4 linked regions of the Arabidopsis thaliana genome follow. The protein of the gene in region 4 interacts with the protein of the main gene of each other region in a pairwise test. Each region holds a gene or a part of one and is shown on either strand. Other genes may lie near its edges. The genes, in order: GAMMA-TIP, AT2G23200, AT1G36050 and PAP3.

The links.
Region 1: the proteins of PAP3 (region 4) and GAMMA-TIP interact in a protein complementation assay, tested with the Arabidopsis thaliana proteins (one large-scale study listed by BioGRID).
Region 2: the proteins of PAP3 (region 4) and AT2G23200 interact in a protein complementation assay, tested with the Arabidopsis thaliana proteins (one large-scale study listed by BioGRID).
Region 3: the proteins of PAP3 (region 4) and AT1G36050 interact in a protein complementation assay, tested with the Arabidopsis thaliana proteins (one large-scale study listed by BioGRID).

Annotation. Positions count from the first base shown.
Region 1 is NC_003071.7:15,442,753-15,448,071, forward strand, and holds GAMMA-TIP (gamma tonoplast intrinsic protein), read left to right. Parts: upstream 1-2,541; 5' UTR 2,542-2,737; coding exon 2,738-3,121; intron 3,122-3,212; coding exon 3,213-3,584; 3' UTR 3,585-3,869; downstream 3,870-5,319. UniProt on the Arabidopsis thaliana protein: Water channel required to facilitate the transport of water, diffusion of amino acids and/or peptides from the vacuolar compartment to the cytoplasm. Does not promote glycerol permeability. May play a role in the control of cell turgor and cell expansion.
Region 2 is NC_003071.7:9,877,579-9,883,997, reverse strand, and holds AT2G23200 (Protein kinase superfamily protein), read right to left. Parts: upstream 4,724-6,419; 5' UTR 4,648-4,723; coding exon 2,143-4,647; 3' UTR 2,074-2,142; downstream 1-2,073. Other genes in the region: AT2G23210 (UDP-Glycosyltransferase superfamily protein), read left to right, coding at 601-1,464; CYP81D7 (cytochrome P450, family 81, subfamily D, polypeptide 7), read right to left, coding at 4,991-5,605, 5,688-6,071, 6,308-6,419.
Region 3 is NC_003070.9:13,447,758-13,454,989, reverse strand, and holds AT1G36050 (Endoplasmic reticulum vesicle transporter protein), read right to left. Parts: upstream 4,787-7,232; 5' UTR 4,524-4,786; coding exon 4,382-4,523; intron 4,297-4,381; coding exon 4,223-4,296; intron 4,140-4,222; coding exon 4,056-4,139; intron 3,962-4,055; coding exon 3,881-3,961; intron 3,717-3,880; coding exon 3,636-3,716; intron 3,393-3,635; coding exon 3,300-3,392; intron 3,048-3,299; coding exon 2,868-3,047; intron 2,782-2,867; coding exon 2,714-2,781; intron 2,638-2,713; coding exon 2,586-2,637; intron 2,494-2,585; coding exon 2,440-2,493; intron 2,355-2,439; coding exon 2,262-2,354; intron 2,180-2,261; coding exon 2,113-2,179; intron 2,027-2,112; coding exon 1,949-2,026; coding exon of another isoform or gene 1,935-1,948; exon of another isoform or gene 1,630-1,934; coding exon 1,307-1,629; downstream 1-1,306. Other genes in the region: AT1G36060 (Integrase-type DNA-binding superfamily protein), read left to right, coding at 1-272.
Region 4 is NC_003070.9:5,056,319-5,062,585, forward strand, and holds PAP3 (purple acid phosphatase 3), read left to right. Parts: upstream 1-2,264; 5' UTR 2,265-2,361; coding exon 2,362-2,649; exon of another isoform or gene 2,650-3,067; intron 3,068-3,154; coding exon 3,155-3,311; intron 3,312-3,407; coding exon 3,408-3,515; intron 3,516-3,611; coding exon 3,612-3,739; intron 3,740-4,042; coding exon 4,043-4,171; intron 4,172-4,265; coding exon 4,266-4,333; coding exon of another isoform or gene 4,334-4,337; exon of another isoform or gene 4,338-4,447; coding exon 4,448-4,670; 3' UTR 4,671-4,822; downstream 4,823-6,267. Other genes in the region: AT1G14710 (hydroxyproline-rich glycoprotein family protein), read right to left, coding at 5,850-6,267.

The sequences.
Region 1 (5,319 bases), on a different chromosome or scaffold from region 4:
ACATTGTACAATTATTTCGACAAAAAAAAAAGCCTCATTGATTATCATTTATATATTATATCATAGAGATTCGTGCCCCTTATCTCGTTTTTTTTGCAAGACTAAACAAGTAACAAATTGCCTAGCTGCCTAAAGAAGTGAAGATAATACTCTTTCTAAAATCACAATATTCTCATAGTAAAAAAAAACATATTTATCATCATATCGTCCAAATATTTCAGTTTTGTTGTTTGTTTAACAATACAAATTAACAATGATTTAATTTGGAGCACTTGAATATAATAGTACACCGACCACAACCCCACACAATTCACAAACTTGAGAAAGAGAGAGAATATGCCCAAACTCACCAAACCTAATCATTTTCATAATTAACGAAAAAAATAGTTTCGGTAAGATGATGATGTCTTAGTTAACTTTTGCTTACTACTTTTTTAATCATTAAACAAAAAAAAATATTAAAAATCGTTTTCACTTGTTCAATACATATTTTTAAGTTTTATTTATAAGGAAAAAAACTTAATAGCTTATTGCACCAAAACTAATATGGTCCTTATGGATCAGTTTCATGTTTTTAGTTTTTTATGTAATGAAAATTTGAATTATTTTCTAAAAATATGTGTACGATATGGTTCGATTTAAATAGAAACCATGGTTCAAAACGTCAGATTAGTAACGTTCATAAAACTGAACGACTTAATTATGTCCACGTATACGGTTGGTTTCTTTCAACGTTTTTAGATAGTTAATGCTTTGAAATCTTAGTTAGTTATACAAAGGTAAGGTAAACGGTCCAAAAATGATTGTTCTCAATCAAGTTTTAAATAAGAAGGAGAAAAAGTCAACAAGGAAATGCACCAATCAATAAAGTGTCACCAAATATATGAGGAATTCCGATGATTAGCTAGCGTTTTGAAAATACTTCGGCTACTAGCTATGTTTTTGAGAAGTACGTACATGTGGTTGGTAAAAGAATACTGGAACATTGTCACTAGAACGTTCGTGATTGTACGCAGTATTCATGCCAGTTGATGTTGTGCACCATCAATGTTCATTATGTGAACCACCCAAAAAGGCAAAAACAATGGATCATCCACCTAACAATCCACCCCAATCTAGGTAGTTCTAAAATCACACGACTTACATCAAAGGAAAAGTTTCACATGTTTATCAATCACAGGTCACAGTATGTTTGAAAGAGATGATAGAAAAAAGATATCAAATTTGTCCCGTGTTGATAGGAAAGTTGGTTTGGTATCGTATTATAATTTTCTCTACACACACACGACTCATGTTTCATGTGTTAAAAAAAAAAAGCAATCGTTTTAATCCCTTCCAATTTATATAAATCTGCGGGCTCTGTTTTTATATAAAGAAAATTGGATCAGTTGTATGAACTTCGAACTGTGCAAAAAACTTCAAAATGGTTCAACTATTTTGTCAAGGCTTGTAAAATAAATAAAAATTAGCACACTGTTAAAATTTGTAGTATTATATTTAAAAAAAAAAAAGATCAAATTAAACAAAAGAAAAACGAAATTATCACGTCTTTTATTTATTATTATTTTAAATAAATAATATGACATTTTAAATTTTGTTTGGAAATTAATCACTTTCTGGCAGTACCTCTCAGCCGAATTGTAAACCTAAACCGCCCAAAAGGGACAGATTGCATCGTGGTGGTAGGACATTCATAAATTATTATTTTTCCTTAAGTGGAGGGCCGTCACACAATACTTTTTGCCCAATAGATAATTGGCCCACAAAATAAAATGCTAAAATAAATATATAATCTTTCTGTATGATTGTGAAAAAATGTGAGATTGTCTCGAATGTTAAAATTTGGTGCCACAAACAATATAAATATATAATCACAGAAAAATTGGTGCCACAAACAAGATAACATCTTATAATTTTCTCGTATACTTGGAGAGCGAGTTGAAAGAATTGCGATTAGAATAAAGCGTAGTGATTTGGCATTGAATATCATTTATGCTACATAATTCTACTTAGCGATAATATAAAAAAATATCATAACTTATGGTTAGCATGTAATGTCACTATACGAATATCAAATTCATAAAACTAGCCGTGACTTATCTACACAGAATTATTTATGTTTCGAGAATAAAGACCCAAGAGAAAACAACGACATTATAACAAAAAAACAACGACAGATTATAAGTAAGGAAGAAACAAATGACTATAGATTAGATATGAAATATTTTTAGTAACCATCTTTAGTTATAATTTTTGTTTTGGAGCTTGCTCCGTATACTCAGTTGAGTATTTTTACCACACATATATCAAGACTAAATTCTACCACTAATCAAGTAAAAACCTCTTAGCAAAATAGTTGGAGAAAAACAAGAATAAAATCGTATTATTTTCCTCTAGAACTATCGATCATTCGAGAGAGAGAATATGAAAAAGGGACAAAAGCTCTATACATGTACAAACATGACAAGTCATTATCCGCCACGTAGATTGGTCGGTTCCGCTTCGCTGGAATTATAGCGATGTACTTGTTTAGCCTGTTTTCAAAATTATTTAAATCTCTAACCGCTCCAATCAAATAATTTCTCCACCAAATATTAATAATATATCATCCGGTAACCGGTCACCAAAATGGCGCCACCTCAGATATAAGTAAGAGCACATAGTAGACCAGAAAAAATCATCAAATCCATCTCCCACTCTTCTAGCATCTTGAAGCTTAAATCTCAGCCGTCCGATCATGCCGATCAGAAACATCGCCATTGGCCGTCCAGATGAAGCCACCCGTCCCGATGCCTTAAAGGCGGCGTTGGCTGAGTTCATTTCAACTTTGATCTTTGTCGTCGCCGGTTCAGGCTCTGGCATGGCTTTCAACAAGCTCACTGAAAACGGAGCCACCACTCCTTCTGGTCTCGTAGCTGCTGCAGTGGCTCATGCCTTTGGACTCTTCGTCGCTGTCTCAGTTGGTGCCAACATCTCTGGTGGACACGTTAACCCTGCCGTCACTTTCGGTGCTTTCATTGGTGGTAACATCACTCTCCTCCGTGGTATCCTCTACTGGATTGCTCAGCTTCTCGGCTCCGTCGTCGCTTGCCTCATCCTTAAATTCGCCACCGGTGGCTTGGTATGTCAAACTACCCTTTAGCCCTTTATTAGATCTCTTTTTGGACCTAACTTCTTTGTCAAGTAACTAATTAACCTTTTGAAAATTTTAGGCTGTGCCGGCTTTTGGTCTCTCTGCTGGAGTAGGAGTGTTGAACGCTTTCGTTTTCGAGATCGTGATGACATTCGGGCTTGTTTACACCGTCTACGCTACAGCCATTGACCCCAAAAACGGGAGTCTTGGAACAATTGCTCCCATCGCAATCGGTTTCATTGTTGGAGCCAACATCTTAGCTGGAGGAGCTTTCTCTGGAGCCTCCATGAATCCCGCCGTGGCTTTCGGACCAGCGGTGGTGAGCTGGACATGGACCAACCACTGGGTCTACTGGGCCGGACCTCTCGTCGGCGGTGGAATCGCTGGACTCATCTACGAAGTTTTCTTCATCAACACCACACACGAGCAGCTCCCAACCACAGACTACTGAATTAATCTCTCTTTTTCTCTCTTGTGTAATTTTATTCGACTTTGAATTTGAATTTTAATGTCTTTTTAATTTCCGTTTGTGTAATTTCGAATCATCAAGGGGTTTATGATCGTTCGATCTTTTAGATGAATCCTTGTCCGTTGGTTTCAAGAGTGGCCATTGCAATTTCGACTATATAATGTGAATTATGTATCAATCTCATCTTAAGTTTTCAAGTGTTGCAATATCTCTTTTTGCCATTTTGTCAAACTTTTAAATTCCACATCAGTCTTATTACACATTAACTTTATTTATGACCGAATTTATAAGAAATGAGTAAACAAATTATGAGTAATAAAAAAATATGATATATAATTATATATATTTTTTAAAAAAACTAGAATTTGATACAAGTTTCGATCTATTTACGTCTAACAAAATTCACCATATCTTTAACAAAAAAAAAAAAAAAAAAAAAAAAGAAGAAGACAAATTAAATTCACCATATGTATATGTAAAAATTTGAAAGTTGGAATGGTTGGCGTTTTGCAATAAGGGAATAAAATGATATTGTAGGGGTCAGTCAGTGAGGGTTACTAGTCAATCAATACTCAATAGTGAATACGGCTTTTCTTTTTTTTATGTTGCTTTGTATTTGCATTTTGCAAAGGGTGTGAATTTAGAAAAATAAGATCCAATGAGAAAGATTAATCTGTTTTCCTTTTACTTATTTTAAGCAGTAAGATTGTTTTGCAATAGAGATCTCAAGTCTCAACCATACTTGTCAAACAGGTCCGACCAAAATCAAGACATGATTCGATGAGGTGCTAAGTTTGACGTTGCCTAATGTCTTCGTTTGTCCGATACCATTTTCGGGTTTTATAACAAAAATTAGAATTCCTGTTTGGTTTTGGCATTTTAGAGATATTTCAAAATCTTTGGCCAAATGGATACGGATTGGCAGAAGCACGTGAAAACGTCTGTACCAATTCCTTACAATTTCATTGTCTTTTCTTCTACTGATCAAGGAGAGTTTGAAACTTCGGTCGACGCCACTAGCAGAATCGTACACTGGTGCAATTGCCGACATATTATCTTCCGAATAAGTTATGTTTTCTATACAAGAACATTGTAACTTTGAAGGTAAATATGCTTCGTTACATTAGAGTAACTATCTTTCAAATGTGATCACCATTTTCTATAATTAGATTTTGAGATAATCTGAAGATTTATTTACGCCATTTTAGACTCATTATAATATATGTATATTGTTGTATAATTTGGCAAAATTATATATTATATGATATTATCTAGAATGTTCGATATAATATTCAATACCCATGTGCCATTTTGGAAACTTATACCTAATGTTTTTGTAGGTTTCTCTTTCCCTTTTCCCTATAAATGTGTAATTTCTCATCAACCTTTTTGTGAGTGAATAGTATAATAAGAGTACACTCATAACTCGTACCAAACCATTATGGTCCTTATCAATCATATGGCTCTCTCACAAGCCACAAATCTAGTTCTTCCTTTATTAATTAGACTAGGTCGGTCACATGAACTAAACATAAACTTTTCATACATACACCGTAACACGCAGAATATTTAGAATTCAATCTCAAGTGAAAGTTGAACCGCATCAAACTGTAACAATTTTTATCTAGCACTCTAGCAGTTATATTGATGTTTAAATAAAGAGAAACGACCTAGCTGCAATAATATCAAAAGCAATTAGATCAAACTTGTTGGCGTT
Region 2 (6,419 bases), on a different chromosome or scaffold from region 4:
TTCTAGTAAATGTTAGACAATGAATGAAATAGATTACAAATCTCTACGAACACAACATGTCAGCATGACATTTTCATTAATAACATATAAGAGTAAGTTTTTATTAAGAATGTTTCTCAATTAATATATAAAGGATAATATATATATAAGGAATAATAATAATCACATGACAAAATCTCTTAAAATTTTAACACAATGTTTTTTTATTAAATATCATTAGAAAATTGTACTCAATATACACTCTTTTTAACTAATTTGAAACAAGTTCACACTTCTGTATTATATAAAATTTTAGTTAATAAGATAACTTTGCAGCTGGCTGTTGACATAATTATGCTAGAAATTGGTAAGAACATGATTTCTTGCCACAACAATTTTACAAGAATATAGAAAATCATAATTTTAAATCTGTTGACCATTATATATTGGGTTAGCAAATCATAATGATATATTACAAAAATCTCACTTAATATTGTTGAAGAACAATTGTTATATATACCACTAAGATTAAAACTCATAATTTTTATACGAAATTCAAGTCTAATACCTCTAAATTACTATTAAAAAGAATTATTACTACTAAAAGTCTATACAAAAAAAATGGGAAGTATTGAGGGTCAAGAAACACACGTTCTAATGGTAGCATTACCGTTCCAAGGTCACCTAAATCCAATGCTCAAATTCGCCAAACATCTCGCACGAACCAACCTACACTTCACTCTCGCCACCATTGAATCAGCCCGTGACCTCCTCTCATCCACCGATGAACCCCATAGCCTGGTGGATCTTGTGTTCTTCTCTGATGGTCTGCCTAAAGACGATCCAAGAGACCACGAACCTCTCACAGAGTCATTGAGAAAAGTCGGAGCCAATAACTTTTCGAAAATAATCGAAGGAAAGAGATTTGATTGCATCATCTCTGTGCCTTTTACTCCATGGGTTCCAGCTGTTGCAGCTGCTCATAACATTCCTTGTGCAATCCTCTGGATTGAAGCTTGTGCAGGTTTCTCAGTTTATTACCGTTACTACATGAAGACAAACTCTTTCCCCGATCTCGAAGATCCTAATCAAAAAGTGGAGTTACCAGGCTTACCGTTTTTAGAAGTCCGAGATCTCCCGACATTGATGTTACCTTCTCACGGTGCTATCTTCAATACACTAATGGCGGAATTCGTCGAATGCTTGAAAGATGTTAAATGGGTTTTGGCTAATTCATTTTATGAACTCGAATCGGTTATAATTGAATCGATGTTTGATTTAAAACCTATTATCCCAATTGGTCCTCTTGTTTCTCCATTTCTTTTGGGAGCTGATGAGGACAAAATCTTAGATGGGAAAAGCCTAGATATGTGGAAAGCTGATGATTATTGTATGGAGTGGCTTGACAAACAAGTTAGGTCTTCAGTTTTTACATATCTTTCGGAAGCATACTCAAATCATCAGAGAATCAAGTCGAGACCATAGCGACAGCATTAAAAAACAGAGGAGTTCCATTTCTATGGGTGATACGGCCAAAGGAGAAGGCCGAAAACGTTGACGTTTTGGAAGATATGGTTGAAGAAGGTCAAGGAGTTGTTATTGAATGGGGTCAACAAGAGAAGATACTATGCCATATGGCGATCTCTTGTTTTGTCACTCATTGTGGATGGAACTCGACGATCGAGACGGTGGTGAGTGGTGTTCCGATGGTGGCGTATCCGACTTGGTTTGATCAGCCGCTTGACGCGAGATTGCTTGTTGATGTGTTTGGAATCGGAGTACGGATGAAGAACGATGTCGTCGATGGAGAGCTTAAGGTTGCTGAGGTGGAGAGATGCATTGACGCCGTGACAAAGGGTACCGACGCTGCGGATATGAGGAGGAGAGCGGCGGAGTTGAAGCAAGCGACGAGATCGGCGATGGCGCCTGGTGGATCCCTCGCTCGTAATTTGGACTTGTTCATCAACGACATCAAAATCGTTAAAAATGATGTAATTTTAACACCAAAATAGTGTTTAGCCTTCGAAATACCCTATAGACGGACTGTGATTATCTATTAACCGGAAATAACCGGATATTAAATTTTGAAATTGAACCAGATACTGCTAGAAACTTCACATTTCGAAAAAATTATAATTTTACACACAATTGCGAAAGATTTCATCATCTTGCATCAGAGATCTTCAACTGCGAAAAAACTCGAGTCTCCGATGAATCTGTAAATCCAAATCTGTTCTTCGATTCATCACCATTCTGAAATATCGAGTTCGTACTAAACGAATCACTCACCATCAACCTCGGAGCAACCAACGAACCACCGGAATTAATCGCCGTACTATCTTCTTCATGAGCCTCTCGACGATTCGTCATCATCTGTAGCTGAAGAACATACTCAAGATCCCAAATCACATCCCTCATACTCGGTCTCTCATCTCCATACTCTTTCAAACATTTCTCAGCAATTTCCATGAATTTCTTCAACGAATTCGTCTCAATTTGACCTATCAAACTCGGATCTAAGATCTCATCGATTGTACCTTTTGATTTGCAGAACATCACCCATTCCGATAGATTCACTTCTTCGTGAGGAAGATAAGGATCTATAGCTGGTCTCGCGAACAGTACCTCGAGGAGGACGACTCCGAATGCGTAAACATCTGATTTCTCTGTTAATTTATGTGTTTGGAGATATTCTGGATCCAAGTAACCGAATGTTCCTTTGATGTTTATGCTGATATTGCTTTCATCTTGATTATGAATTTTCGATAATCCGAAATCTGCGACTTTTGCTATATTGTGCTCGTCTAGTAATATGTTTGTTGATTTGACGTCTCTGTGAATGATTGCTCCTTCTGAGCCACTACTGTGGAGATAATCTAAACCTCTAGCTGCTCCAATGCATATCTCTAGTCTTTGTTTCCATGTTAATGAAGGTAGATTCGAGCCGTATAGATGTTCTTTGAGTGTACCTTTCTCCATAAACTCGTAGACGAGGATCATTTCGGAGTTTTCTTCGCAGTATCCCGTTAGCGAGACGAGGTGTCTATGTCGGATTCTTGAGAGGACTTGAATCTCGGTTTGAAACTCTAAGATCCCTTGTCCTGAGCCGGTTTTGCCTCGTTTGATAGCGGCTTTGGTTCCATCGGGAAGAATAGCTTTGTAAACGTAGCCAAACCCGCCTTTCCCGATCAACAACTGCTCGTCGAAGTTGTTTGTAGCGCTTAGAATGTCTGTGAAGGGAATCGTTAAGCCTAAGTGTAGGTTGCGTAATGGGGAGTTGTGGTATTGAGAGATAGGTCTATTGTCTGAACTCCCACCTCTGTGCAATGGCAAAGGAGACCATACAGTGCCCTCAACCTCTGGCTTAGTCTTCTTCGATCTCCTCCGCTTCAAGAATACCATAAACAGCAAACTGAAGACCAAAGCTGATGCAGCAGCAGCAGCAACAGCACAACCAGTGATGATGTGAACCCGGGAACTGCTTCTATTTGAATAATCAGAACCAGATTTACTCAAAACCTCCATCATCTCCAGACCATTCAGAAAACCAGCATCCTTATTGGCCTCCTTGGTACCTATACTGATATTCAAGAGTCCAGAACCATCAGAGACATTCACGACATCCTTAAAAAACGGACTCGCCAACCTAGGCTGCTCTGAAGGCTTTACATCTACTCGCCAATACCCATTTACAAAGAGATAGAAATCGGAGTCGGAGTTTGATAAGTTGCTCAAAATATCAGAAAAATGAATCCTGATGAAGTGTCTATGGTTACTTTTGACCTTGAACGACCATGTAACATTCATCAACATCCCCACCTGCTCATTCGAGCTACGGTTCATTGCTTTAGCTGTCTTGTAGACGAAATCAGGAGCAGTGGAGTCCGTGGCTGAACTTAACCCTCCCACGTAGTTAGGCGTTTGTGTTGAATTAATGTTCCTCGCTGAATCTTTTCGGTAGAGAAAGTCATCATCGTCAGGCAGCCAAGTTCGTCCCAAGGTATCATTATCCGGAGTGATTTTCTCGCCTCCTACGTTTAATCTGTAAATCGTATGCAGATTCTTATCGGAAGCTGATGGGATTTCGAGGTCATCAGGAGCAGAGAACACTTCGATGGCATTGATGAGAGCTAAAGAGGAATGATCGGGCACAAATCGAATTTCGAACTCCAGCGAGTTCATCATCAGGAGAAACTCTTCAACTCGTGGGGTATTAGTGAGATTCTGAGGCGAGAAACTTTTCAAGTGATGATTAGAACCAGAGGTAGCAGAGACAGTGAACCGAGCAGTTAAAAGATCTGCCCGAGAAAACACAACAGAGAAATGGAGACGCACAAAGTGCAGACCCAGAGAATCAAGTTTGAACTTGTAAGAAGAAGGGTGTCTAAATATCCTAACCGTCCGGTATATTTCAGGCGCAACGGACGATTGGTCGTTGATGACTTCAGTTCCTTTGTTGGTGAAGGAAACTGAGTTAGTACTCGAGTTGGTATCTCCGACGAAGGTCTGGCCACCATAAAATACATTAGAATCCGATCCACAGTTGACGTAAAAATTCTCAGGACGGGTGTACGTCGAAGTATCAGAAAGACTGAGACGGGGGAGAAGAACAAGAACCATGATCGTGATAAATAGAGAAACAGAGTCTTGAAAACAGAAATTCTCCATAGCTTTGATGCAGAGAAGGAGAAAGAGAGAAAGTCAAGTCTTTGAGGTCAATGGATGAAAAAACATGTGTGGTCTATGTGAAGACTGGATTGAGGAAGAAGATGAGATTGAAGGAGAAATAGAGAATTGAAATTATTGGTGGAACAAAAAGAAAGAAGACTGGAGTTGACTTTTGAAGTCATCGTCTTTTGTCCCGTGAGAAACAATCACTCTCTAATCTTTTTACCTTTGGCTCCCCAACACTGACCTAGTAAACGGTCAGTCTATACTATTAGATTTTTTGACATGATAAGTTTTTTTACTACATATTTTATTCCCAAGTCAAGGAAAGAAGAGTTACACTTCAAGCAAAAGCATCGAGAAACTTATGGACAATGGGACGAGCTTTACACATGGCTAGCAACGGTGTCGCAGGACGCATCATGGCCATAGGTTCTTCTCTAGTGTCTACATATTCTTCACCAATTCTCTGCCATTCGAAACACTGAACCATCGATCCAAGAGCCAAGCTCATTAACCGATGAGCTAGGCCAACCCCGGGACAAGCTCGTCGTCCAAACCCAAACGACAACAACTTCTGATTAAGCTTTTCATTTTTGAACCTCTCTGGCTTGAACATTTCTGGGGCTTCCCATATAGACGGGTCTCTATGCATGGACCATACGTTCACCAATAACATCGACCCACGTGGAACGTCGTATCCTGCCAATATGCAATCATCTGACGTCATGTGTGGAATATTTGTTGGAGCTACCGGGTAAAGACGTAAGGTCTCCAACACAATCCATTGGAGATAAGGCAGATTTTTAGTATCAGCTTCATCCATTAACCGGTCAAAACCGACTTCGGTATCGATTTCGGTCCTCGCTTTCTCTAATACTTCTGGATGGTTCAACAAATTAAGCATCGCCCATTCTAAAGTCCCTGCTAATGTTTCAGTCCCGGCAAGTATCATAACCTGTAAACTTAAAATCAATAATAAGCTATCATAAAGTTTGATTAGTGTTGTTACATATAGTATATGAATTCCTCAAACTTACAATTATGATTCCTTTAAGAGTGACATCTGTATAGTAATCAGGCTGAGTTTCTTGGAGAGAAAGCAAGTGATCCATCATAGTGTTACCCTTTTGTTTATGCACACGTCTCTCATCCACCAGACTCTGCAAAAACTCATCGACCCGACTCGCCAACTCCTTGACCCCTTTCTCAAAATCTGTGATCCAACGCAAAATCGGTATATAATCGGCTGCATTCCCAACGCCAGCCCTGTACACAATCTCGTCAATCAGTTGTGTCACTCGCCGCGCAACTTCATCTTGTTCTGTCCCCTCTCCATAAAATCGTTTCCCAGCCACCATTCGAAGAATGTTGTTGATAGTCAAATCATAAAACAATTGTCTCATCTCAACCTTTGCAAAACCCTGATTTTAATTATAATCACATAAACAAATGATTAATCCTCAAACTTTCAAAATCATACTTCACAATCTTCATTTGGTATAGAATATTTTTGGCGTCTACAATCTACATTTTGCACATGCACATGGCCAAGTATAAACCTATATAATGAAACAGTGACGGCACTATCACAAATCAATAGGTTATAATATTTTCTGGCTAAGTAAAATGTTTTGATATGTAGAAGAAGCTCACATACATGTTGCGAGTTTTTTGAGAGGCGCAATAACAAGTGTCGGATCTCATCTTTACGGACAGATAAAAAGCCGTTGAGCTTGTGTGACGAAAAGATCTCCAGGGTGCCGATACGG
Region 3 (7,232 bases), 8.4 Mb from region 4:
AACTAGAAGCCATATTAGCTGAGCCGAAGAATCAGCCGGGCAAAACGGAGAGGACGTCGAGGAAACGAGCTAAAGCCGCGGCTTCTTCAGCTGAGCAGCCGTCAGCGCCACAACAACATTCCGGGTCGGGTGAAAGTGATGGGTCGGGTTCACCGACTTCGGATGTTATGGTGCAGGAGATGTGCCAAGAGCCAGAGATGCCATGGAATGAAAATTTCATGCTCGGCAAGTGTCCTTCTTATGAGATAGATTGGGCTTCAATTTTATCGTGAAAAATTAGGATTCAATTCATTTTTATTCATTTTAACTTGTTTGTATTTTCTTTTAAACTTTAGGGTTATTAGCTGTGCGTAAAATTTGTAATTTAGCATTTTGTATGAATGTAATGCAAGTGTGTAAATTATGGACAGCTCAAGCTTTTTTGTTCATGCCGTACCATGTAGACCCTTCTTCTTTTCTCTTAATTGAAATGAATATGGTTAGTATTACTACTATGAATATATTGTAACACATTAGAATCGTGAAGTTCCATTCTGCGACAGGACCATTGTGCTTAGCTTAGAAATGATTAAAAAGTAAATTAGTCTAAAAGGGAACAATATAGTGAAAACTTAAAATTTAAATTGCTAAATTTCTAGCTTAATATTATAAATTTTGGTCCTATTTTGAAGAAGTCAAAAGAGAAACACAAGAGTGGAAGAAAAGGATCCTTGATTGAACTTTACGTGGTATAAAGATAACCTCATACAAAGTGCCTACGTTGACGACATTCTCATGCTTTCTCTTTAGAATAGACCGAGTGATAGATAATAAGTAAAAAAAAAAGTAAAACAATTATCAAGTCTTTAAGTTAACACAAAAGATTAGATTTCTTTTTTTGTGTTTAACAATGGTAACCAAAGTGAGTTTTTTTTACGAGCAAACGTTGTCAAATGAGAAAGGAAGACTTGGATGATAAAAGTGTCCATGCAAATATAGAAACCAATTGCCAAGCCAAAGGAATGAGAGAATGCACATATATTAGGCTTGCACATTCGGGTACCGGTTTGGGTTCGACTCGAGTATTTGGATTTTGGTTTCGTACTAGGAATCGAGGTACTATTTGGGTATTTTAAAATTTTGTTCGGGATTGGTTTGGTAACCTTCGGGTTCATATCAGTTCGGATAGTTGATATGGGTGAATTGAAAATTATCGGATACAGTTCAAGTTGGTTACTTTATACTCAAATTTATCCAAACTACTCGAAAAGAAAAACCCGATGTTCCCAATCAAACCAGGCAATATAGGTTAAAGGAGATCATGAGTTTAGTTAGGCTTCAAATATATTCGAGTTCCCGTTAATTTATCAGGTATTATCCTTTTTGAACCAATACCGAAAATATATGAAGACAAGACCCAATCAAATGTTCTAGAGGATCCAAAACAGACCCAAACCGATATTTCGGATAGGTTCTGGTTCAGTTCTTCGAATCCGAGTATTAACCGAGACCTAACATATATTGCAATCGGAATTAATATATTCACTAATAACAACTTTCTCGTCAATACTAATAATGATTCTCTGTACTCTAAGCGTTTATTATGGAGACTGTTTTGCTTCTTTTTCTTCCATTCATTGAATCCATACACTACAATCAAAGATAGACTCAAGACTTAACTTCAGATTCAAAACCCATAATATCTTCAAAAGACAAAAAGTCAAAAGACGATAATTGTAACGCACGCATGAGGCTGTCAACAGCTGGATTGACACAACCCAAGACTTATCCTTCAATTTGCATTAAAAGAGTGTAACGTATCAATATGTATATTTTATATAGTCAGCTTAACAAAAAGAATTAAATAAATGACACCATATTACATTTGGAGCATGAATCGTATTATCCGCAAAACAAAAAGAGAGAGACGAAAACCCCAAAAAGGCTTAAAGGATTTAGCTAAATTTACCAATTTCCATCTTCTTCTTGATAGCTTTTTGACCATGGTATATAAACGCGTCTATTATCCCGGACACTGTGAAGACACCTGCGCATTTTTACATGTTTCATTTCGGATTTTAATGTGCGTTAACCAACAAGTGTTGTTATGGTATATAGAGATTAGAGAGATACCTCCAACTATGGCGCAAACATTCGTCAAGAAGTGCAAGAATGATATGTGTTCCTCCGTAAATGTTACCTACGGAAACGACACATTTTAGTTAGGATTATGACTATAAATACGCTCTAAAACTGCAGTTAAAACACACAAATACACTCACCTTGATTGGAGAGAGATCATAGAAGAAGAAAACTCCAGGTAAAGATTGCAGTTGACCTGCTTCTGAGCTCTTTACATGTTCGGTCACTGAGAACTGCCAATTTTACATTTAAGTTAAGATAGTACGCGGAAGAGAATGAATAGATAATGAGGTCGAACAGTTAAAAGCCTTGGTTCACCTGATTCGATTGAATTGTGTGTCCTCTGATATCTGTGTATACTGTTGGTACAACCTATTGAAAGCAGACAAAGCAGAATAGAGTCATCGCGGGTATTTTATAGACGAATTTGAAGTATATGATACAGTGTTTGTCTTGGAACAAACCTTGATAAAGTATTGGTACATAGCATTAGGTGTGTCTTGACTCCACTCGACTCTGCAATTTCAAGTACGTTAGAGAGTATGAAAAAATAAATAGTGTGTGAATGGAATAGACCAGAATGGTTATTTACTTGTCAAGAGGGTTAACGACGCCAGGAAAGTAGTCTCCATAAGTAAGTCTATTGATCTTGTGACTTATCTGCAGGGAGACGCAACATATTGAATTGATATAAGATTAGAAGCATAACGAATGAGTTGCAGTCAATAGGACAAGTCATTTCTTACGTTAAAACTGTCTTTCTGAAAAGCAAGAAGATCGTGAACATGCACGCCCGACTGATGAAAGCTTTTCCCAGGAGCAAAGTGGAAGTTCCCAGCCACCTTATTGACCTCCAAGAACCCATATATATTACACCCTTCACCTTCTTCATCCTTTACTCTTTGTAGAAAACCTTCTCGTTTACACTGAATCACAAACAGATAAGTGAAAAGTATTTCAGCTCGCAGTTGGAAGATGGAAACTCTTTGAAGCATAGTTCAGTTAAGAGCCTCCCAAGTGCATACTAACTAAACAAAACGCACACAAGCCTTGGAGACTCTAACAAAGAATAAGAAAAAGAAACAAGAAGAAAGAAATGAAACAAAACTTGCTACTATCGCATTGAAACAGTGATGCCAGGAATTTAAAAGGCGAAGAACCTTTTCTTAGCAATTTACCTGGTCAATCAAATCTGGATTAGTAACCCCCCAACCTTTCTTTCTATATGCTTCACGAACATCCTCACACGAATTGCAGCAGTCATGCTCTTCCTGCACGGGGAAAAAACATACTTCAGATGAAAGCTTATAAATAAATGAAAGCCAGATTGAAAAAGCACTATCAACTATCCTGAAAATGATAACTATATATAGTACAGAAACAATCCACTATGACATCTGTTTTTGTTTATTCCATTATGACCTCTTGACTAGCACTAAACAATCAAGAGTAATCTGAATATGAACTTGAGAAACCATGCTCCACAAAGTCAAATAGAGAGATAACACAATTACCGCTTCAGCCCCATAGCAAGAACCACAGTAAGTCTCATTATGTCCCAGCCTGCCACCATGTTTCTGCAGTGGGTTTTCAATCTACACAAGCACAAAAAAAAAAGTATAAGACTTTAAAGACCCCAAAAACAAACGACTTTTAATTCTTGACACTACTATTCCATTTGCCATTTGCCATTTGCCTGCAGTTTAATCCTAGCCTAATGACTACAAAACCCCAAAGAATAGAATGGCAGAGAGCAAACCTTAGTAGCGCCTATTCCGTCCTGTCTTGCCTCTATAGTGTTGCCATTAGAATCTAATCTTCTCTTTATGATATCATGTTTCTGTAACTCACACATTTAACAAACTTAATCAACGTCTCAAACACAAAAACTAAGATTCACTAAGCTATAACAGTAACCAATTTTACAAACATACCACGTCAAGATGAAGCTCTCCACTAATATCCATAGCATCAACACTAAGAATCGAACATGCTAGAGCAGGAAACGTAATATCAAACTGCATCATCAATGAAACTTATCAGACATCTCTAATCAAATATAAGCACAAACCAAGTCAAAATCACTATTAAGTAACATTACGTTGATGCGTAACGTCTCTCCCCTTGAAGTATCTACTATAAGCTTCGTCTCGGTGACTGTATGAAGATAAAGACCTAAACAACAGAATCAAAGAATTTCAAAATTACGAAACTGGATATGGAGATTCACAAAATTGGAAGCGAAGTTGTTAATACGTACGGAGCTCGGAGAAGAAGAGAAGGAACATAACAACGGAGGAGAGGAGAGTGATAACTCCGCCGGATAATGTACGGCTGTAAAAATCTTCATTGATCTTAGGATATGCATCTAGATTCCGCAATTTATTCAAGATCCCGGCCATTTTTAAACACCTCCGGGAACGAAATTGTCAGATTCAGTTCACCGGATTCAAATCCAGCACCGAATACGATTAGGTAGGATGTTCGGAGACAAAATCAGACGAGAGAAACGTCGTCGGAAGCGAAAATTCTTCCGACGATGCGTGAATAGATCTTGGAGAGAGTGATCGATGAGATCTTTGAGTCGTTCTTCTTCTTCTTCTTCTTCTTCTTCTTCACCGTCTCGTTTTTTCTCCGTCGGACGGAGGAGCGTTTGACGGTCTACGTAAACCCGTTCGTGTTTGCCGTCTTTCGCTTCATGAGTAAACGACGTCGTTACTATTTCATGTGTCTTAAGAGGCTTTTCAATTGTTAGCTTGTAGCAAACTAGGCCCAAATTTGGTCGATGAGCAAAAGTAAAAATGGATAAAAATATTGTTTTCTATTTTGGTTTTTGTCTAGGACTAGTGATGTTAATTTGGGTATGCAAATCCTATTTAATTAATGGTTATGAGTAAGAGTTTTTGACCCATTTAAATTAATTTAGGAAAAACAAGTTAAATGAGATTAAATGGATTAAGCCAACTAAACTCATTTATTAAATAAGGTTTCACATAAATAAATTGGTATCCAATTAAGTCTATTTATTTTTCTTTTTCTATTAGTCATCCTTAGTAAAACTAAATTATTCTATTTAACTTCAGTTTTTGGTTTAAATATTAAAATTACGTTTTTCCGCCACAACCGTAAACCAACATTTTCTCGACAAAACCGTAAAACCACGTTTTCCCGCTAAAATCACAAAAAGTGTTTTCTTGCCAAAATCACACAAAAAGTATTTTCCGCCAAAATTAAAAATCACGTTTTCCCGCAACAACTGTAAGCCAACGTTTTCCCACCAAAACCGTAAAATAATATTTTGTACACATAAATTAAATGACTTTAAAAAAATTAATACATGCTAATTTTTTCTTCAAATAAATATAAATACATCCTAATTTATTTGACCAATAACACATATAAAAACAAATTTGTTAATTTTTCTTTTAGTTCAGAAAAAAAAGTTAAAAACATTTGAGATATAGACATATAAATTTGTTTTTTTGTTAGTTTTATTTTATTTCTTTAAGATTTATATAATAAGATTTACAATCCTTAAACATTCATAACTCATGGATGCCTAATACCGGGACTATTTCCTGGATTAGTAGGCGCAAAATCATTTGTAAATTTGTTGTTTACAACTCTTAGATGCCCAATACCAGGACTATGTCCTGGATTAGTAGGCGCAAAATCTTTTGTAAATTTGTTGTTTATAACTTTTGGATGCCCAATACCAGAATTATGTCCTGGATTAGTAGGCGCAAAATCATTTATACATCTATTATTTAGATTATTTTTATTGTCAATTTTCTTTAACATTTTTGCTTCCACGAAATCTTCATTAGCATTGAAATGCTCATGACGGTCCATCTTCCTCAAATTTCTTGCTTCAATGGTGACAAGTGTTTTGTCAAATACCTTTGAGATGGTTAAACTGGTCACCACAATGATAATAAATAGCTTCATGTTTCTTTTCTCTAAATTAGATAAAACAATTATGTTTTGGTATATGATTAGTATTGAATGTTGAGTAAGGTTTGTCCGACTAAAACTATATTTACAGTGTCTATTCAAATTATTAAAATTATAATTATTAAAGTTTTAAATTCAATATATATATCGTATAACTGTTGTATCATATCTTTCAATTTTCCAGAATCCTCAAAAAGTAAATAAATATATATATGTATAACACCTAAAAATATGGGCTTAGATATATAAACATGTGAACAGTTAAGGTAATTGAGAAGAAGTTGGTTACGTGAAGATATGGTTGGATAAAACGTATGCATCATATAATGATCTTATAGCTTATGAACATTGTAAAATATATTCAATTAAGCAAAATATTATATCTAACATATGAAGTAAAAGAATCCTAAGTACTTTGACAAGATAAAGATCACAACTCCAATAAACACACTTTATTAGAACAACTTTCAAACTGATCAATCACAGATAAGTTTGGACAGTGTTATGCAACATCAACAACCTGATTTGCTCTTGTCAAAACCTAAAACTACCCAGCTCACAAACACAGCAACAGCCGTGTGCTCTCTTTGTTCACTCACCAATGAAACCACAAGAACAAGTTCTATTTAACTTTTCTTCTCTTCCACTTTTCTCAAGTAAAGTGGCTAACCCTAATAAGAGACCAAAACTTCTCTTATGTAGTTTCTCGGAAAAGGCAGGATGCTCTACTTTATCCATCAGGTTCAAGTGTAGCTCCTCATCATTATCTTGACACTAGGCACACGTCCTATGTCTGACGACTTCGTCTCCTTTGTCTAAAGCGATACGCCTTTCCTTCACTCCAATCAACATGCCACGCTGGCAAAAGCAACTGCTACTTTCCCGCTTCCTCTGTTCCTCTGTTCTGCTCTGTGTTGTTTCAGACACGCCTGTAGAACTTCAGACACTCTGTTTCTTCAATCTCCCCCTTTTTATTTGAGTGTGACACCTCAAGTAATCTGCAAAAGAGTAGAGACCACAATACAAGCCAAGCAATATTCCATACCAAACATAGAAACCAAAGGCTCAAGTTTAAGCAACTACTGCCAAAAGACATAACCATTTAAACATGAAACAGAAATGAGTTCTTGGTTCTATACATAAGACTAATCATTAAA
Region 4 (6,267 bases):
CAGGGAGGAAAGCAAGAAGCCACCAGAGCGAGAGACACAACTACTAATCAAATAAGCAATTATTATGACATTATATATTGAATTTCTGATATTTATGTTTGTCTTATAACTATGTTAATATCTCACACGTACTGACAGAACAAGCAGCCTTACTTTAGAAAGTTTAGAAGAAGACAGAAACAGGATAATCCCAAACATTGTGTTGGGTTGCTTGAATTATTAGCCGACAAGTTGAGTTCTAACCACTTCATTCATAAATAAAGAAGTCAGCTGATGAAGATTATACAACAATCTTTGTCATAAACTACGTAAAGATAATGAAGTAGCTAGTCCTGTATATATTATCTTATGTTTCCTGGTACTAGTTCTGGTGCGACTGCTAAAATCTAAATTGTCGTCTTTAGATTAACATTTGTTTTTTTTTTCTCTCTATGAAAGTACTAAATTTTCATAGGATAAGCCATTCAAAATATCAATTACAGTGACTATTGAGTATTGACTAATATTATTTGAACTCACAACTCACCTACATGTATTAATGTTTGCATTATTTTAGTGATTGCTAAAACACATAAGTGTCACATGACATATATATCATTGTTTAGGCTAAACATATTATATATATGGTCTATATTATAGATATCGATCCAAGTCTATTAGCCAATCCAACACTAAAACAATCCTCTTGTAAATGAGTAGCTCATGACGACATTATTCTGTTTCATTTTGGAAGCATTAGCATCATTTCCACACACACGTGTTGACCTAAAAAGGCCTATATTTGTTCTATTTATAAAGCCTTAAATTAAAGACTCAAGCAATATCACATGGATCTAATATATAATCATATGTTGCATAGAAAAAAAGAACAAAAAAGAAATAGAGAGAGGTGGTTGAATGATTTAGGCTTTACATCAAACCCACTGTTTCAATAATTTTGTTAGGTGTGTGTGTGTATGTGTGAATACAGCTAGAGAGTTTCACGAAGAAGCTGGTTGGTCAAAACTTTTGACTCGAAAGGAATTGCTGACAAATCGATCAATCAATTTGCTTCAGAGAGAAAAAAAAAACACATAAACACAATTGACATCTCTCTATCTATACGGTCCGATACTAGACTTGGCGAACCAAACTAAAGATACAGTAGGACACTGTGACTGTCTAGGACCACCAGAGATATTCAGTGAAGTTTCTATAGTCATCATAAGTCAATCTTGCTGACTACATCATACTAATAGGAACTATAGTCGTAAGGAACATATATACCACATTAAGCTTGTTTCTTTTGATTAACTCCTCAAGTTGTTTTCAAAATACTCGACGAACTAGACTGAATCAGCAATAAGACCAAACATGTAAAATAAACGTTGCAGAAGTTAATGCTCATTAGTTTTCTCTTTTGTAAGAACATACAAACACACAGGTGACAAGTTTTGGCCAAGAATTACAAAATAATATGATACCTTCATAGTCATACCTCAGAATTAATGTCCTAGTCGAGAAGCAGAAGTTTGTTTTTATAGATCTTTCTTTTCATTAGAGAAATGGGTATCGGCCCAATAACATAGGCCAACCCATTTGCATTTATTTTCTCATATCCAGTAAGGATATACTTTCAAATTTTTGTATAAATGGGATTTTGATTTTTCTTTAATATGTTGAACGAATTTAGTAAACTATTCACATTATTTTATGTTCAGAACTATACTGTAAAATAACTAACGGTCAACAATAATTGAGAGAATTTGGAAGTTTTCGTTAGACTCACATCAATAATGTGACTCAAAGCTAATAATTGCAATTTCCGACAAATTTGTGGCATGGGCGTTTATGCTGTCTTCTACTCTTCTTGTATGACAACGCACATACCCGAGCTTCGTAAATTTTATTTCTATTTTTTTCAAGTATATTTTGTTTTTAAAATGCGATTTTAGAAAGAATTTGTGTGATCAGAATTCACGGTGTAATAATAGTTTGTATGCATACTGTTGTTTGATGTGTCATAATCCAAATTTAGATAATATGTTTATGTATAATGTTAGAAATAAAAATGTAGTAGAAATTTACGTATATTTTCACTGATAATAGAAATTTTCAAATATCCTTAAACTGTCAATATCCAATTTCTTTATGTTTAAAATATTTCAACAGCTAATTTTCAACCGCTATTTATTTTATTTAAATTTATCTTGTCATTATATTTCGTTATTGATAAATATCTGAAAAAGTGGGTGACAAAAAAATTACCGATTCAAATTATTGTAATAAAATTGACAAATCAAAAGATTGAAATAGAAAACAAAAATGGACTACATTTCTCAAAATGGCAAATAATTTTTATTCATATTTATCAACCTCGAAATGACCTACATATATAGAGACACAAAGATCACAACAAAATCAACCATTCCTTTCCTTATCTTCTTCCTCTTTTGCTTTTCTAATCTCTCAATGGCTACCTTAAAACACAAACCTGTAAATTTGGTATTTTACGTTTATAATTTGATTATTATATTCTCCTCCCATAGTTCCACGGCGGAGCTCCGCAGGCTACTGCAGCCATCAAAAACCGATGGTACAGTGAGCTTTCTCGTTATCGGAGACTGGGGAAGAAGAGGCTCCTATAATCAGTCCCAAGTAGCTCTTCAGGTTACTTCTTATTTTCATTTACAAGTTATTTACTATATTTCTCGCCTGTACGCATATATATAAATATATAATGCAAATTCAATAGTGTATAATTAATACGTATTACGTAAACATATATATGCGTATGCCTTCAAGAGCATACGTGATATGAGGATCAAATTTACTGGTCTTCATATTAATGCCGGCCCTTATGTTTTTATATTATTCTTTTTTTTTCTTTTTTTTATTATTATTATTCAATTTCAATATATATTACTAATTCTTGAACACCATGTTATAAGATACCATAAAAAGAAAGAAAGTCATGTTAGAGGAACTTGAAAGATTCGGTCTGTGTTAAGAAAACAGCTTTAGTGTACGAAGATATTCTACATATGATTTTTGTTTGTACTGTTGTTTTGCAGATGAACTCAATGTGGTAAATTTTATGCTAGTTTGATGTTTTCTTTTATACTGTTGTTTTTAGTTATTTTATGCTAAATTATTTCACACGAAATTTAAACAGATGGGAGAAATCGGAGAGAAATTAGATATCGATTTTGTGATTTCTACTGGAGATAATTTTTACGACAATGGTTTAACCAGCTTGCACGATCCTCTATTTCAAGATTCTTTTACCAACATTTATACCGCTCCGAGCTTGCAGAAACCTTGGTATAGTGGTAAATGTGTGGTTCAATGTGTACATTCGTCGTTGGATCTTAATTATTAAACGATATGTGGTTCAATGTGTTAATTACATTTTCTTTAACCTAAAGTTTTAGGAAATCATGATTATAGAGGTGACGTCAGGGCACAACTTAGCCCTATGCTCAGAGCTCTGGACAACAGATGGGTTTGCATGAGATCTTTCATTGTAAATGCTGGTAATTCCTCCTATATAATATTTCTTCAAAAGTTAGAAATATTTTATTAATCCTCCAATTATTTTTTTATTTTTGTTAATTTCGTTAACTGAACAGAGATCGTCGATTTGTTCTTCGTCGACACAACTCCGTTCGTCGATAAATACTTTATTCAACCAAATAAGCATGTTTATGACTGGAGCGGTGTATTACCTAGGCAAACATATCTGAATAATCTCTTAAAGGTAACAATTTTTTAAGTAAATCTTCCTTTCTTTCTTTTTTCGTCGAAATAGAATTAATATTAACTTAGGAACGTCATTATATACGTGTTTTGGGCAAAACATTCCTTTTTCTTTTGTTATGATTGGATTTTTTTATAAAGTTATGATTGGATGTTAAACGCAGCTTTTATTTTGTCTATTTTCAAATGGAATCGCGTTTTAATTAGGTATGTAATGCGATATGATTAGAGAACAATCTGCCAATGCAACTTTTTTTCTTTTTACGAGCGAGTGACTAACGAAAGCTATAATGTAATAATATAGGAACTCGACGTGGCGTTGAGAGAGTCAGTCGCAAAGTGGAAAATAGTGATTGGTCACCATACGATCAAAAGCGCAGGCCACCACGGGAACACCATTGAGTTGGAGAAACACCTTTTACCTATTCTCCAAGTAACAAAACCATTCCATTCATATAATAAAGTTTATGCACCAATAGAAAAAATCTATCTAATTAAATCTGTTTTTTTTGTTCTCGATTTACTAGGCAAATGAAGTGGATCTCTACGTAAACGGACATGATCATTGCTTAGAGCACATAAGCAGCGTGGACAGGTAGAATAAATTTATTTATTTGTTCGTTAATTATTTTCTTATTAATCAATTATTGTAACGTAAGGGTCCACGTACGGGAGGATATAAAATGTCACCATTTTTGGTTGCATATAGTAACATACAATTTATGACAAGTGGAGGTGGATCCAAGGCCTGGAAAGGAGGTGACGTGAACTACGTTGAACCAGAAGAGATGAGGTTTTACTACGACGGACAAGGTTTCATGTCGGTTCACGTTTCAGAAGCTGAACTGCGTGTAGTCTTTTATGATGTTTTTGGACACGTTCTGCATCATTGGAAGAAGACTTACAAGGAGGCGCTTTATTTCGCTTCTTGATTCCAATTTAATCGGACGTAATTGTTTATGATCGATGTACTATGAAATTATCAATATCGTACTTCGTCGAATTTTCGAATCACATTATGATATGACAAGAACATATCAGCAGCATCAGAAAAAAAAGTCAATGAAATCTTTATTGCGTAAAAGTACAGTTTCAAACAAGATATTATTGAAAATTTGTAAGATGTGAGATTAACTAGAAATACTGCATGCATATACTGTATATACATATCGAATCTAAGCATATTAAAATGTAAATATCATCCTCTCTTACGCTTCCATATTAATTAAGTTAATTAATTTTCGTTATTCTTATCCAATTTGATTAACAAGTTTTCCCGAAGCATGCGTGCATACAGTACTCTTGTGTAGTTTGTAGGGACACAAAATGGGTCCGATTCTCATCTATAAAGATAGATAATGATTTTGTTACATGTCTTTTGTCCTGTGCTCAGATTCTCTTCAATCATGTAATATATATAGATAAGTTATAGTGAATTATGGATTATATGATAAGATAAATGATATACAACTCTATGTTGTGGATGAGATTCTGTCACATAATTTCACAAGCCCCGGATCTCTCATATTTGATCGCAAGAACACTTTTGCTCATACCAAAATTATCTCCCAAAAGAAATATAATAGTCATTCTATTAAGGCTTATCTTATTTTACTTTTGGTGAGACTTAATAGAGTGGACAAAGGAATGAAGACATGGGCCACTGCCATGAACCATGGGACCGAACACACAGCTGAACTTGTATCACACAACAGAGATAAAGGCTTCATATCTTAGCTTTCGAATCCCAAAAAATATTCCAAGAAGAAAAAAAAAAAGTAACTTTCTTGAGAATCTTGAGACACTTTGGAGAAAAACAAAGGTATATATATATATGCATGTGTAAGAAGATATTATGATTCAGTCGAAACGAGGCAGAGATAGAATTTGAATAGAAAGGAAAGGATATAGATGAATGATTTTAGAGAAGAGAGTAGAAAACGGGTAACTTTTCCTTGTTTTGACTCTCCTAAAAATAATTTCTCAAGTGGCAAAAACAAAACGACATTTCATCGAATTCACCGCTCTTTTAACAGTTTGTAAACTGCACCTCAGATTTCATCTCCCAAAAACTATTCTCTCTCTTTGCTCTATCTTCTCTTCTTCAGCTACTAATTGCTCTGTTTACCGTTACTGCCATCGCATTCCCCTTCACCAAATCCGTTACGAGCTTCTTCTTTCGCCTTCAAATCTAATTTTCCTTCTGTTCCGTTGCTGTTGTCAGCCAGTTCTTGATTTGAACCGGGTGGGAGGAACACACCAGTGCCTGGGATGGGCATTCGAGGTTGTGGTGCTGTCTGGTGTCGTGGATGAGGTGGCAGCAGTGGCCAGACAGGCGGCCCGGTTGGTACACCACCTGGGAACGGCATTGGAGAGGCAAGTGGAGGAGAAGGAGGGATGAAAATCGGTTGAACAGCTCCGTTTGGTGGGCGGTGAGACGGAGTGGGCAAGACACCAGTGGACGGGATAACAACAGGGTAGTGTTTAGGTGGGCCGGTTGGGTGACGGATGTGCTGATTTGGCGATCTG